3 linked regions of the Macaca fascicularis genome follow. The protein of the gene in region 2 binds, or shares a complex with, the protein of the main gene of each other region. Links are inferred from orthologs where the notes say so. Each region holds a gene or a part of one and is shown on either strand. Other genes may lie near its edges. The genes, in order: TAF10, TAF6 and TAF11.

Region 1 (3,189 bases), on a different chromosome or scaffold from region 2:
CAGGCTTTTTATTTTCTTCCCCCAATCATAGCTCACAAACCTTCGTTGCTATTTGTTCCTAAGTAACAAATCATTTTTCCTCCTCCCTCCCCAAACCCCAAGGAACTCTCACTCTTGCTCAAGCTGTTCTGTCCCCTTAATACTACCCCTGATACAAACTGCCTGGTTAATTTCCAGAATTCTTACAAGATTCAGCTCAGAAGTCACCTTCTCTCGTGAATGTTTTGATTCCCTGAGGCTACTTCATTTTGCTATGGCTGAAAAATCCTAGATTTTCTAAACAAAACCTGTTTGAATCTTGGTTCTGATATGGACTGGGAGAGAGACTGGGTCAAGCAAGTTTATCTCCCTGAGGCTGTTTCCTCGTCTGTTAAGTGGGAATATTACCTGCCTTTCATAATCACCAGGGAATAAAGTGGAATAATGTTGATAAGAGTACTTGGCACCTGGAAGTAGGTGGCAGATGTTAATGCCCTTCCTCCCTTGCACTGCGACCCCTGTGTCTACCTCTAGTATTGTAACGACCACATAGTATTGAAATAGCCACTTTACTTGTCTGGCTTCCTTTCCAAGACCGTTGGTGCCTAGAGGACTAGAATCGTGTTCTATTTAACTTTGTATTCCCAGGTCCTAGCTCAGGAGTTGGCAAATAAGAATTAAATATCTGCTACATTGAAAATCTCACGCCTTTCACTCGTTGTGATTTTTGCATACGTTGTCGACTTAGGCTGAAACCCCTCCTCCTTCTACAGCAGCACTGTGGGCCGCCCCACTGCTGCCCCCACCTCTCGGGGCAGTTGGTGGAGAAGGGCGGGGGGCTTTCCAAATCCACTATGAATCCTTACAAGGCTGAATAAGGGAACTTGAAAGGATGCAGACAGGCAGGCAATCCGCAGTCGAGGGATGTAGGGCCCATAAACCTCGAAGCAAGGTCTTGAGCGTCAGACAGAATGAGGTGTCCCAGAGCGGCGGAAGAGTCCCGGACGCACGCTGCTTCTAGTCTCGACGGAATCGCCACCGAGCACCGCAGAGGCTAGGGCGGAATGGCGACGGCAGCGCAGTTCGCCAAGGCTTGGTCTCCGCCCTTCAGCCTATTTCCTCTAACCCGCAGACCCACTACCAGAGGAGGCGGGGAGCGGGCTGGAGAGCACTAACAGTGACAGGCGGGGCGAGTCGAGGGCGCGTGACGTCACCCCGGGGTGTGCGCGGCGCGAGCGGAAGCGGAAGCGGCTCTGTTCGCCGCCTCTCCCACCGGCCCGATGAGCTGCAGCGGCTCCGGCGCGGACCCCGAGGCGGCGCCGGCTTCCGCCGCCTCGGCCCCGGGCCCGGCACCCCCGGTCTCGGCTCCCGCAGCGCTGCCCGCCAGCACCGCTGCGGAGAACAAGGCCAGCCCCGCGGGGACAGCAGGGGGGCCTGGGGCTGGAGCAGCTGCTGGGGGCACGGGACCCTTGGCGGCGCGGGCCGGGGAGCCAGCTGAGCGGCGTGGGGCGGGTGAGGGCCTGACGGGTGAGGGCGAGGGAAGCGTCTGGGACTGGGCCCAGCGGCGGGTGAGGGCAGCGGGTATAGACAGACCTCGCTGGGGCCCTGCGCCTCCCACCTCTGTGTCTCATTTTGCTGGTTCTCCTCCAGCTCCGGTGTCGGCGGGTGGCGCGGCGCCCCCAGAAGGGGCCATGTCTAACGGGATTTACGTACTGCCGAGCGCGGCCAACGGAGACGTGAAGCCGGTGGTGTCCAGCACGCCGTTGGTGGACTTCTTGATGCAGCTGGAGGATTACACGCCTACGGTGGGCTTCCGCCCGAACAAGGCCACCTAGCCTGCTGTCACAACTTTCAGCCACATCTCCGTGCTTTTCAGCACCCTCTGATGTTTGCTTCCGTAGTCGCTCTTGTTTTTGCCCTCTGCTCACCCAAATCGTGAGCTTCCTGATAACCAGGTCTATCCGACATTTCCCTCACCCTCATCCCACTCTGCTGACAGTTCTCTTAATTGATTTCTTAGATCCCAGATGCAGTGACTGGTTACTACCTGAACCGTGCTGGCTTTGAGGCCTCAGACCCACGCATGTGAGTAAACCCAGGGCAGGTTAGTTTTGGGTGCTTGTGCAGTGTGTTGTCCATCTCCTTCTCATCTAAGTTTTTTCTCTCTAGAATTCGGCTCATCTCCCTAGCTGCCCAGAAATTCATCTCAGATATTGCCAATGATGCCCTACAGCACTGCAAAATGAAGGGCACAGCCTCCGGCAGCTCCCGGAGCAAGAGCAAGGTGTGAGGGGAGGCTCATTGAATCACTAATTACCTTCCACAACAGTGGAAGCTTATCCTGCCACCCCTTTGGGGAAACTGAATCCTAGGGGAGGTGTAAAACTTACTCAGGGTCACCCATCTGGGATTGAAGTGTGGGATTCCTGTGCTCAGTTGGTGCTCTTCCCTCTTCCCTCAGGACCGCAAGTATACTTTAACCATGGAGGACTTGACCCCTGCCCTCAGCGAGTATGGCATCAATGTGAAGAAGCCGCACTACTTCACCTGAGCCACCCAACCTAAATGTACTTGTCTGTCCCCATGTCCCCACACCAGCCTGTTTTCATAATAAACTTTATTGTGACAGGCGGGGCTGATCCCTCCCATGTTGGGAGACACCATGTGGCAAGTGACAAAGCTCTGAGCCCGCCCCTTTTGGGGCCACAGTGGTAGGGATGGGGGAAGGGGATGGACCCCATGGCTGGGGTAGTACCATGACTGGAGGCAGGGGAGGCAACCAGAGGTCTGCTGCTTTGGGGAAGTACATTCCCCCAACCATGTCCTGACACCTCTGGAGTTCAGGCAAGGGCCTTCCGGTCCTACTTGTCCTGCATCTTCTCCAGGATAGGCACAATCATGTCAAATTTGGGTCGCTTTGCAGGGTCTTCGTTCATGCAGATCTTCATGAGCTTACACACATGAGGGGAAATACCTGGTGGGATGGTAGGCCGAAGGCCTTCCAATGCCACCTGTGAATACAAGAAAAAACTGAGCCTCACAATTTGAGTCTGTCATGTAGAGAGAAGCCACTGGCCCCTGGGACAGGATAACTGTATATCCGAACAAATATGGGAGGAGCCCAGGCCCACTACAGTTATTTTCACCATAACCAACCACTCCCCCAACACAAATGTATGCTGTTCTGCTCTCACCTTCATTCCAATCTCC
Region 2 (3,650 bases):
CCCCCTCCTTCCACCTTTTTTTTTTGATGGAGTCTCACTCTGTTGCCTGTGCTGGAGTGCGGGAGTGCTGGACTGCAGTGGCACAATCTCGGCTCACTGCAACCTCTGCCTCCTGGGTTCACGCGATTGTTGTGCTTCAGCCTCCTGAGTAGCTAGAGCTACAGGCACACACCACCACGCCCAGCTAATTTTTTGTAATTTTAGTAGAGATGAGGTTTCACCATGTTGGCCAGGCTGGTCTCGAACTTCTGACCTGAGGTGATCCACCCGCCCTGGCCTCCCAAAGTGCTGGGATTACAGGCGTGAGCCACCGCATCCAGCCTCCTCCCTTTACTTTTCCTGCTACTCTCGTCACGCCTCCCACTGTGCCTGCTTTCCCACCAGCTCCCAAAGAGCAACAGAAGGCCGAAGCCACAGAACCCCTGAAGTCAGCCAAGCCAGGCCAAGAGGAAGACGGACCCCTGAAGGGCAAAGGTCAAGGGGCCACCGCAGCTGACGGCAAAGGTCAGTCCTCCTAGGCCAGGCCTCTCTGTACTCTTGCCCAAAGCCACGTGGCCATTTGTTTTGTATCCTTTTTTTGTTTTTGAGACAGAGTTTCACTCTGTCACCCAGGCCAGAGTGTAGTGGCACAATCTCAGCTCACTGCAGCCTCAGCCTCCTGAGTAGCTGGGATTACAGGTGCCCACCACCACGCCCAGCTAATTTTTGTAGTTTTTTTTAGTAGAGATAGGGTTTTGCTATGTAGGCCAGGTTGGTCTCAAACTCACCCTCATGTGATCCGCCTGCCTTGGCCTCCCAAAGTGCTGGGATTACAGGTGTGAGCCACCATGCCAAGCCTCCATGTGGCCATTGGTGAAGTGGGCCAGAGAGCCCCAGAAAGGATGGGGAAGCCTAAGAAGAAGCTGGGTCTCCTGAGTCTCAGGGGAAGTGGAGGGTTAAGGTTCTTCTGTTACTGAGGTTTCTTCTGGAGCTTTCTTTGTCAGACCCACCTCTCCAATCACACAGGGAAAGAGAAGAAGGCACCGCCCTTGCTGGAGGGGGCCCCCTTGCGACTGAAGCCCCGGAGCATCCATGAGTTGTCTGTGGAGCAACAGCTCTACTACAAGGAGATCACCGAGGCCTGTGTGGGCTCCTGCGAGGCCAAGAGGGCGGTGAGGGCCCCACCAGCCTGCCCTGGCCCTGAGACTCCTCCTCCTGGGGGTCCTATGAATTGCTCCCCACATCCTACCCCCACCTGACTGGCTTCCCTCCTCCCACAGGAAGCCCTGCAAAGCATTGCCACGGACCCCGGGCTGTATCAGATGCTGCCACGGTTCAGTACCTTCATCTCGGAGGGGGTGAGAGCATGAGGTTCCACTGTGCAGGGACGGCAGCGGAAGCTCCTGTGAGGGTCTCCCTGCCCCATGCCCAGCACTCCTCCCTCCCGCAGGTCCGTGTGAATGTGGTTCAGAACAACCTGGCCCTACTCATCTACCTGATGCGTATGGTGAAGGCGCTGATGGACAACCCCACGCTCTATCTAGAAAAATACGTGAGTGGTCCTGCCCACCTTCCCTTCCAGGGACCAGGGACCCTGCTGCCACCAACAGGAAGTCAGTGGTCAGCGGTGGCTCACACTTGAAATCCCAGCAACTTTGGGAGGCCGAGATGGGAGGATCGCTTGAGCTCAGCAGTTTGAGGACAACCTGAGGATAGTAGTAGGACTACTGTCTCTACAAAAAAAGATAACAAAAACAAAATTAGCCAGGCATGGTGGTGCATACCTGTGGTCCCAGCTACCTGGGAAGCTGAGATGGGAGGATTGCTTGAGCCTGGATGATTGAGGCTGCAGCGAGCCATGATTGTGCCCCTGCACACCAGCCTGGGTGACAGAGTGAGACTTTGTTTCAAACAAACAAAACCAGAATCAGCTGCCCCGCCCTTTCTCCCTTAGGTCCATGAGCTGATTCCGGCTGTGATGACCTGCATCGTGAGCAGACAGCTGTGCCTGCGACCAGATGTGGACAATCACTGGGCACTCCGAGACTTTGCTGCCCGCCTGGTGGCCCAGATCTGCAAGCATTTTAGCACAACCACTAACAACATCCAGTCCCGAATCACCAAGACCTTCACCAAGGTGAGCCAGGGAAACTTGAGCACCATTGGTTTCATCACTGGCCACCTCTGGTTGGGGGAAGTGACACTGGAAACAAGGGCAGAGGGAAGAGGGACTGGAACTTGTGGGGCTCTAAGGGCCTTGAGGCTTGTCTGTAATGCCTTTTTTTTTTTTTTTGAGATGGAGTCTCACTCTTGCCCAGGCTGGAGTGCAGTGGTGCGATCTCTGCTCACTGCACCCTCTGCCTCCTGGGTTCAAGCAATTCTCCTGCCTCAGCCTCCTGAGTACTTGGGATTACAGGTGCCTGCAGCCATAATTGGCTAATTTATTTATTTATTTATTTTTTGAGACGGAGTTTTGCTCTTGTTGTCCAGGCTGGAGTGCAATGATGCGATCTCGGCCCACTGCAACCTCCGCCTCCTGGGTTCCAACGATTCTCTTGCCTCAGCCTCCTGAGTAGCTGGGATTACAGGCATGTGCCACCACACCCAGCTAATTTTGTATTTTTAGTAGAGACGGGGTTTCTCCATGTTGGTCAGGCTGGTCTAGAACTCCCGACCTCAGGTGATCTGCCTGCCTCAGCCTCCCAAAGTGCCAGGATTACAGGTGTGAGCCACTGTGCCTGGCCACAACTGGCTAATTTTTGTGTTTTTAGTAGAGACAGGGTTTCACCATGTTAACTAGGCTGGTCTTGAACTCCTGACCTCAGGTGATCTGCCTGCCTCAGCTTCCCAAAGTGCTGGGATTACAGGCGTGAGCCACCGCGCCTGGCCTCACTGTCATGTCTTAATGATTTACAAGGAAAGTGTCTATGAAAGACGTGGGTCCCTATCAATCATCCTTTCAGACCCCTTCATCTTAGTTTATTTCCTTCCCCTTACAGAGCTGGGTGGACGAGAAGACGCCCTGGACGACTCGTTATGGCTCCATCGCAGGCTTGGCTGAGCTGGGACACGATGTTAGGCCTCTGGGAGGAAGAAATGGGGGAGGGGACGCAGTCATGAGGTTATAGAGGGCACTGTGCCCCCACCTGGGAGACCCTGGTGACCCTCCGGCTTTGGTTTCTTCCTTTCCCTTCCAACAGGTTATCAAGACTCTGATTCTGCCCCGGCTACAGCAGGAAGGGGAGCGGATCCGCAGTGTGCTGGACGGCCCTGTGTTGAGCAACATTGACCGGATTGGAGCAGACCATGTGCAGAGCCTTCTGCTGGTAACCGAAGCCCCTGTCCCTGCACCTGCGCCCCCGACCCCCCGAGAGACAGCCGGCGTTTAGCAAGCATATGGCGTATTTTATTCACCTACTCCCATCTTTGCCTCCTGTTTTCAGAACATACTGCAAAGTCTGATACTATTTTACAGATGGAAAGACTGAGACTCAAGCTGAGTAAAAAATAAGGGGGCTGGCTGGGCGTGGTGGCTCACGCCTGTAATCCCAGCACTCTGGGAGCCTAGGAGGCCAGCTTGGGCAATGTAGCGAGACCCCGCCTACGAAAAACAAAAAGCTGGGAGTGGTGACATGTGCCTGTGGTCCCAGCTGCTAGGGAGGCCAAGGTGG
Region 3 (3,650 bases), on a different chromosome or scaffold from region 2:
GGTCATAGTTTTCTTTTTTTTTTTTTTTTTTTTTTTTGAGGCAGAGTCTCGCTGTGTCGCCCAGGCTGGAGTGCAGTGGCATGATCTCGGCTCACTGCAAGCTCCGCCTCCCGGGTTCACGCCATTCTCCTGCCTCAGCCTCCCGAGTAGCTGGGACTACAGGCGCCCGCCATCACGCCTGGCTAATTTTTTTTTTTTTTTTTGTATTTTTAGTAGAGATGGGGTTTCACTGTGTTAGCCAGGATGGTCTCGATCTCCTGACCTCGTGATCCACCCACCTCGGCCTCCCAAAGTGCTGGGATTACAGGCTTGAGCCACCGCACCCTGCCTAGGTCATAGTTTTCTTAAAAATAGAAATAGCTTTATGACATTTTCTGATTGTAAAAAGTAGTATGGGCTCATTGCAAATAATTCAGAGAATACAGAAAAATAGAAAAAATTACCCATAAACTCACCAGGCAGAGTTCACTCTAAGTATATAGTTGGGTATAGTGTTTGGGTATGTACCTTTTCAAAGTTTTTTTAGATGTTTGATATGTATAGCTAAATATTTTCATGTCAGTAAATTTGCTCATAAATCATAATTTTTAATGGCTACAATCGAATCCCATTATGTTGTTGAACTATAATTTAACCAGTCCCTGTAGTGGTTCTGGTTGGGTATTTGTACTTTTGACATTATGATGAGGATCTTTGGACATATCTTTGCATACTTGTCCATTACTTCCTAAGATAAACTCCTAGAGGTATAATTGCTAATTCAAATAGTATGAACATTTTCAAAGGCTTTTCATATGTATTTCCAAATTTCTCTCCAAAAAGGTGTTGCAGTTCACTCTGCCAGCATGTGTGAGTTTGTGTCCCATATTCTAATACCATTCTTTTTTTAATAGTGGTCTGATTTATGAAAAATGTTATCTATGAAAATAATATTTCCTTAGTTAATAATGTTGTTCCCCCATGTTGGTTGACCATTGGTATTTTTGTAAATTTCCTGTTCATATACTTTGTTCATTTTCAAAAATTGATATGGCCCCTTTATTTGTTTGAAAGAATTATACATTAGGAGTATTACCTGTTTCCACATATTTTGCAGATATTTCTCCTAAATCTGTTAATGTTGAAAACTACTGGTTTGATCATAAATTTGTATATTAAACACCATCAGTGTGAAATTCAGTAAGGTAGAGTCTAACGCTGAAAACACAGTCTGTATAGTAGGATACAGTGACCCAATGTTGTTCTTTTTGTTCACAGGTAAGAAAAGAAGTTTTTATTTTATGTTTTCTCAAATTCCTTTGGAGTAGAAGTATTTTATCTTCATTCCTCAAGGCACCAAGCCTAATGCTATTGACCCCTTAAGAATTCATTTTTGAATTGTCTGAGACTTTTATTGACTTAATAATATCTTTAGTATTCATTCTTACAAGTTAACTTAGTTACCTGGATCTTTGTTTAGAATCCTGGTTTCTTCTTTTTCTGAGGAGCAGCTGAACCGTTACGAAATGTATCGCCGCTCAGCTTTCCCTAAGGCAGCCATCAAAAGGGTAAGGATAGACCACCACACTTCATCTCCATCATGTTTTAGAACTGAACCCAAGGGCCATGTCCATTGGCATTTGAAGTGAGGTGTTAGACAAGTCAGTGGATTATTTAAGTGGGGAAAAAAAAATGCACCTCAGTTATCTTACCTTTTTCTGTGAATTATTTGGTACTGTGTTCCAAAGCCAGTCTTTGACTATTGTAGTCACGGAGTCTTTCTCCTTCTTTCAAGCTGATCCAGTCCATCACTGGCACCTCTGTGTCTCAGAATGTTGTTATTGCTATGTCTGGTATTTCCAAGGTTTTCGTCGGGGAGGTGGTAGAAGAAGGTGAGTAGTGTTGGTTACAAATACTGCGGTGGTCTTATTTTTAAGAATATCTATACAAAGGAGCTTATTAAAGCACCTGTGGGAGTTCTCATTTGCATTTGAAGTTGAGCAAGTGGGGAACCCTGTATTCAGGAGAAATGACCATTATTCCTTGCAAGTTTCAATAACAGATGGCAAGGAACCATCTGGGACTCCCCTCCCTGATTCCTTTCCTCAGCCCAGGGTGACAGAAGTAGACTTTGTATTTTCTGCAGTGGACTTTGCTCATTTCTGCTGCCAAAAGTAAAGATACAAGAAAAGCAATCACAGGGCTGACCTGTGTGGGATGGTGAGTTGTCCCTAATGTTGTGCTCCCTGGGAACTGCCTGCCCCCTTTATTGAGTAAAAAGCCTGGCTGTTTCCCATTGCTACTCTGACTGGTGAAATCTTTTTTTTTTTTTAATTTATTTTTTTAAGCAGGAGATAGATACTTTTAAATTATTATTATTTTTTGAGACAGGGTCTCGCTCTGTCGCCCAGGCTGGAGTGCAGTGGCGTGATCTTTATTTTTTCTTTTAATATTTTTTATGTTTCCTTTTACAAATCACAAATTTAGATGGTGTACAAAATGAGATGGTAACAGTGGTGTGACCATAGCTCACTACCACCTCAAACTCCTAGGCTCAAAGGATCCTCCTGCCTCAGCCTCCCAAGTAGCTGGGACCATAGGCATGCACTACCACACCTGGCTAATTTTTATTTTTATATAGTTATTTGAGACAGGGTCTCACTCTGTCACCCAGGCTAGAGTGCCTTGATCATGCGATCACAGCTTACTGCAACAGTGAGCTCCTGGGCTCGGGTGATTCTCCTGCCTCAGCCTGAGTAGTTGAGACCACAGGTGTGCACCACCACCCCTGGCTAATTTTTAAATTTTTTTGTAGAGACAAGGTTTTGCCATGTTGCCCAGGTTGGTCTCAAACTCCTGGGCTCAAGCAATCCTCCTACCTTGGCCTCCCTAACTGCTGGGATTACAGACATGAGCCACAGCATATGGCCTATAGGAAATATATTTTAAACTGTTGTCTATGATAAAGCCTGTTATGAGATGTTATACTAAAAAAAAATCTTCTCTTAAAAAGGAAAAATGTTTTGGTTTATTTCCTTAGCAAGCTTAAGAAAAGTTAACGAGAATTACAGGACTCAAAAGGATTATGTGATTAGTAAATTATTGTATGATAATCAGACTTTCTCCTTACCCTCTGTTTAGCACTGGATGTATGTGAGAAGTGGGGAGAAATGCCACCACTACAACCCAAACATATGAGGGAAGCCGTTAGAAGGTTAAAGTCAAAGGGACAGATCCCTAACTCGAAGCACAAAAAAATCATCTTCTTCTAGACCAAAGTCTAGAAAGGCCTGTATTACTGATGGAAGAAGTATTGGTTCCAGACTTCCTAGAAGACTGTCTGCACTGGTGCTTTAGTATCTCAGGCCTCCAAGGATTTCATGATGATTTTAACATCTTTCTCAAAACTCTGATATTTGTCACACCTAGAAAGTATGTAGCCTGATTGATACTTGCCTTGACTAAATTTTGGGACCTCTTGGGGGCATTTTGAAGTATTTAACTGTCTTGGCCAGTTGGAAGAAGATGTATGGGCCGTAGGCATCTTCTGGACAGGAGAACTGCTTTCAGAGAGAAAACCTTTCCAAGAGAGTTTTGTTTTGTTTGAGATAGGGTCTTGCTCTGTCACCTAGGCTGGAGTTCAGCGGCATGACTACAGCCTTGAATTCCTG

The links.
Region 1: TAF6 (region 2) and TAF10 share a complex: the UniProt entries of both Homo sapiens proteins name them as parts of the TFIID basal transcription factor complex. The link is inferred for Macaca fascicularis from reciprocal best matches to the Homo sapiens genes TAF6 and TAF10.
Region 3: TAF6 (region 2) and TAF11 share a complex: the UniProt entries of both Homo sapiens proteins name them as parts of the TFIID basal transcription factor complex. The link is inferred for Macaca fascicularis from reciprocal best matches to the Homo sapiens genes TAF6 and TAF11.

What each region holds. Positions count from the first base shown.
Region 1 is NC_088388.1:59,466,970-59,470,158, forward strand, and holds TAF10 (transcription initiation factor TFIID subunit 10), read left to right. Parts: upstream 1-1,234; 5' UTR 1,235-1,259; coding exon 1,260-1,506; intron 1,507-1,629; coding exon 1,630-1,784; intron 1,785-1,999; coding exon 2,000-2,064; intron 2,065-2,148; coding exon 2,149-2,263; intron 2,264-2,440; coding exon 2,441-2,530; 3' UTR 2,531-2,610; downstream 2,611-3,189. Other genes in the region: scaffold protein ILK, read right to left, coding at 2,841-2,990, 3,174-3,189. UniProt on the Homo sapiens protein: The TFIID basal transcription factor complex plays a major role in the initiation of RNA polymerase II (Pol II)-dependent transcription.
Region 2 is NC_088377.1:48,763,801-48,767,450, reverse strand, and holds part of TAF6 (transcription initiation factor TFIID subunit 6), read left to right. Parts: intron 1-384; coding exon 385-504; intron 505-1,005; coding exon 1,006-1,151; intron 1,152-1,259; coding exon 1,260-1,337; intron 1,338-1,429; coding exon 1,430-1,531; intron 1,532-1,933; coding exon 1,934-2,116; intron 2,117-2,978; coding exon 2,979-3,053; intron 3,054-3,179; coding exon 3,180-3,305; intron 3,306-3,650. UniProt on the Homo sapiens protein: The TFIID basal transcription factor complex plays a major role in the initiation of RNA polymerase II (Pol II)-dependent transcription.
Region 3 is NC_088378.1:136,813,235-136,816,884, forward strand, and holds part of TAF11 (transcription initiation factor TFIID subunit 11), read left to right. Parts: intron 1-1,459; coding exon 1,460-1,547; intron 1,548-1,774; coding exon 1,775-1,871; intron 1,872-3,120; coding exon 3,121-3,251; 3' UTR 3,252-3,650. UniProt on the Homo sapiens protein: The TFIID basal transcription factor complex plays a major role in the initiation of RNA polymerase II (Pol II)-dependent transcription.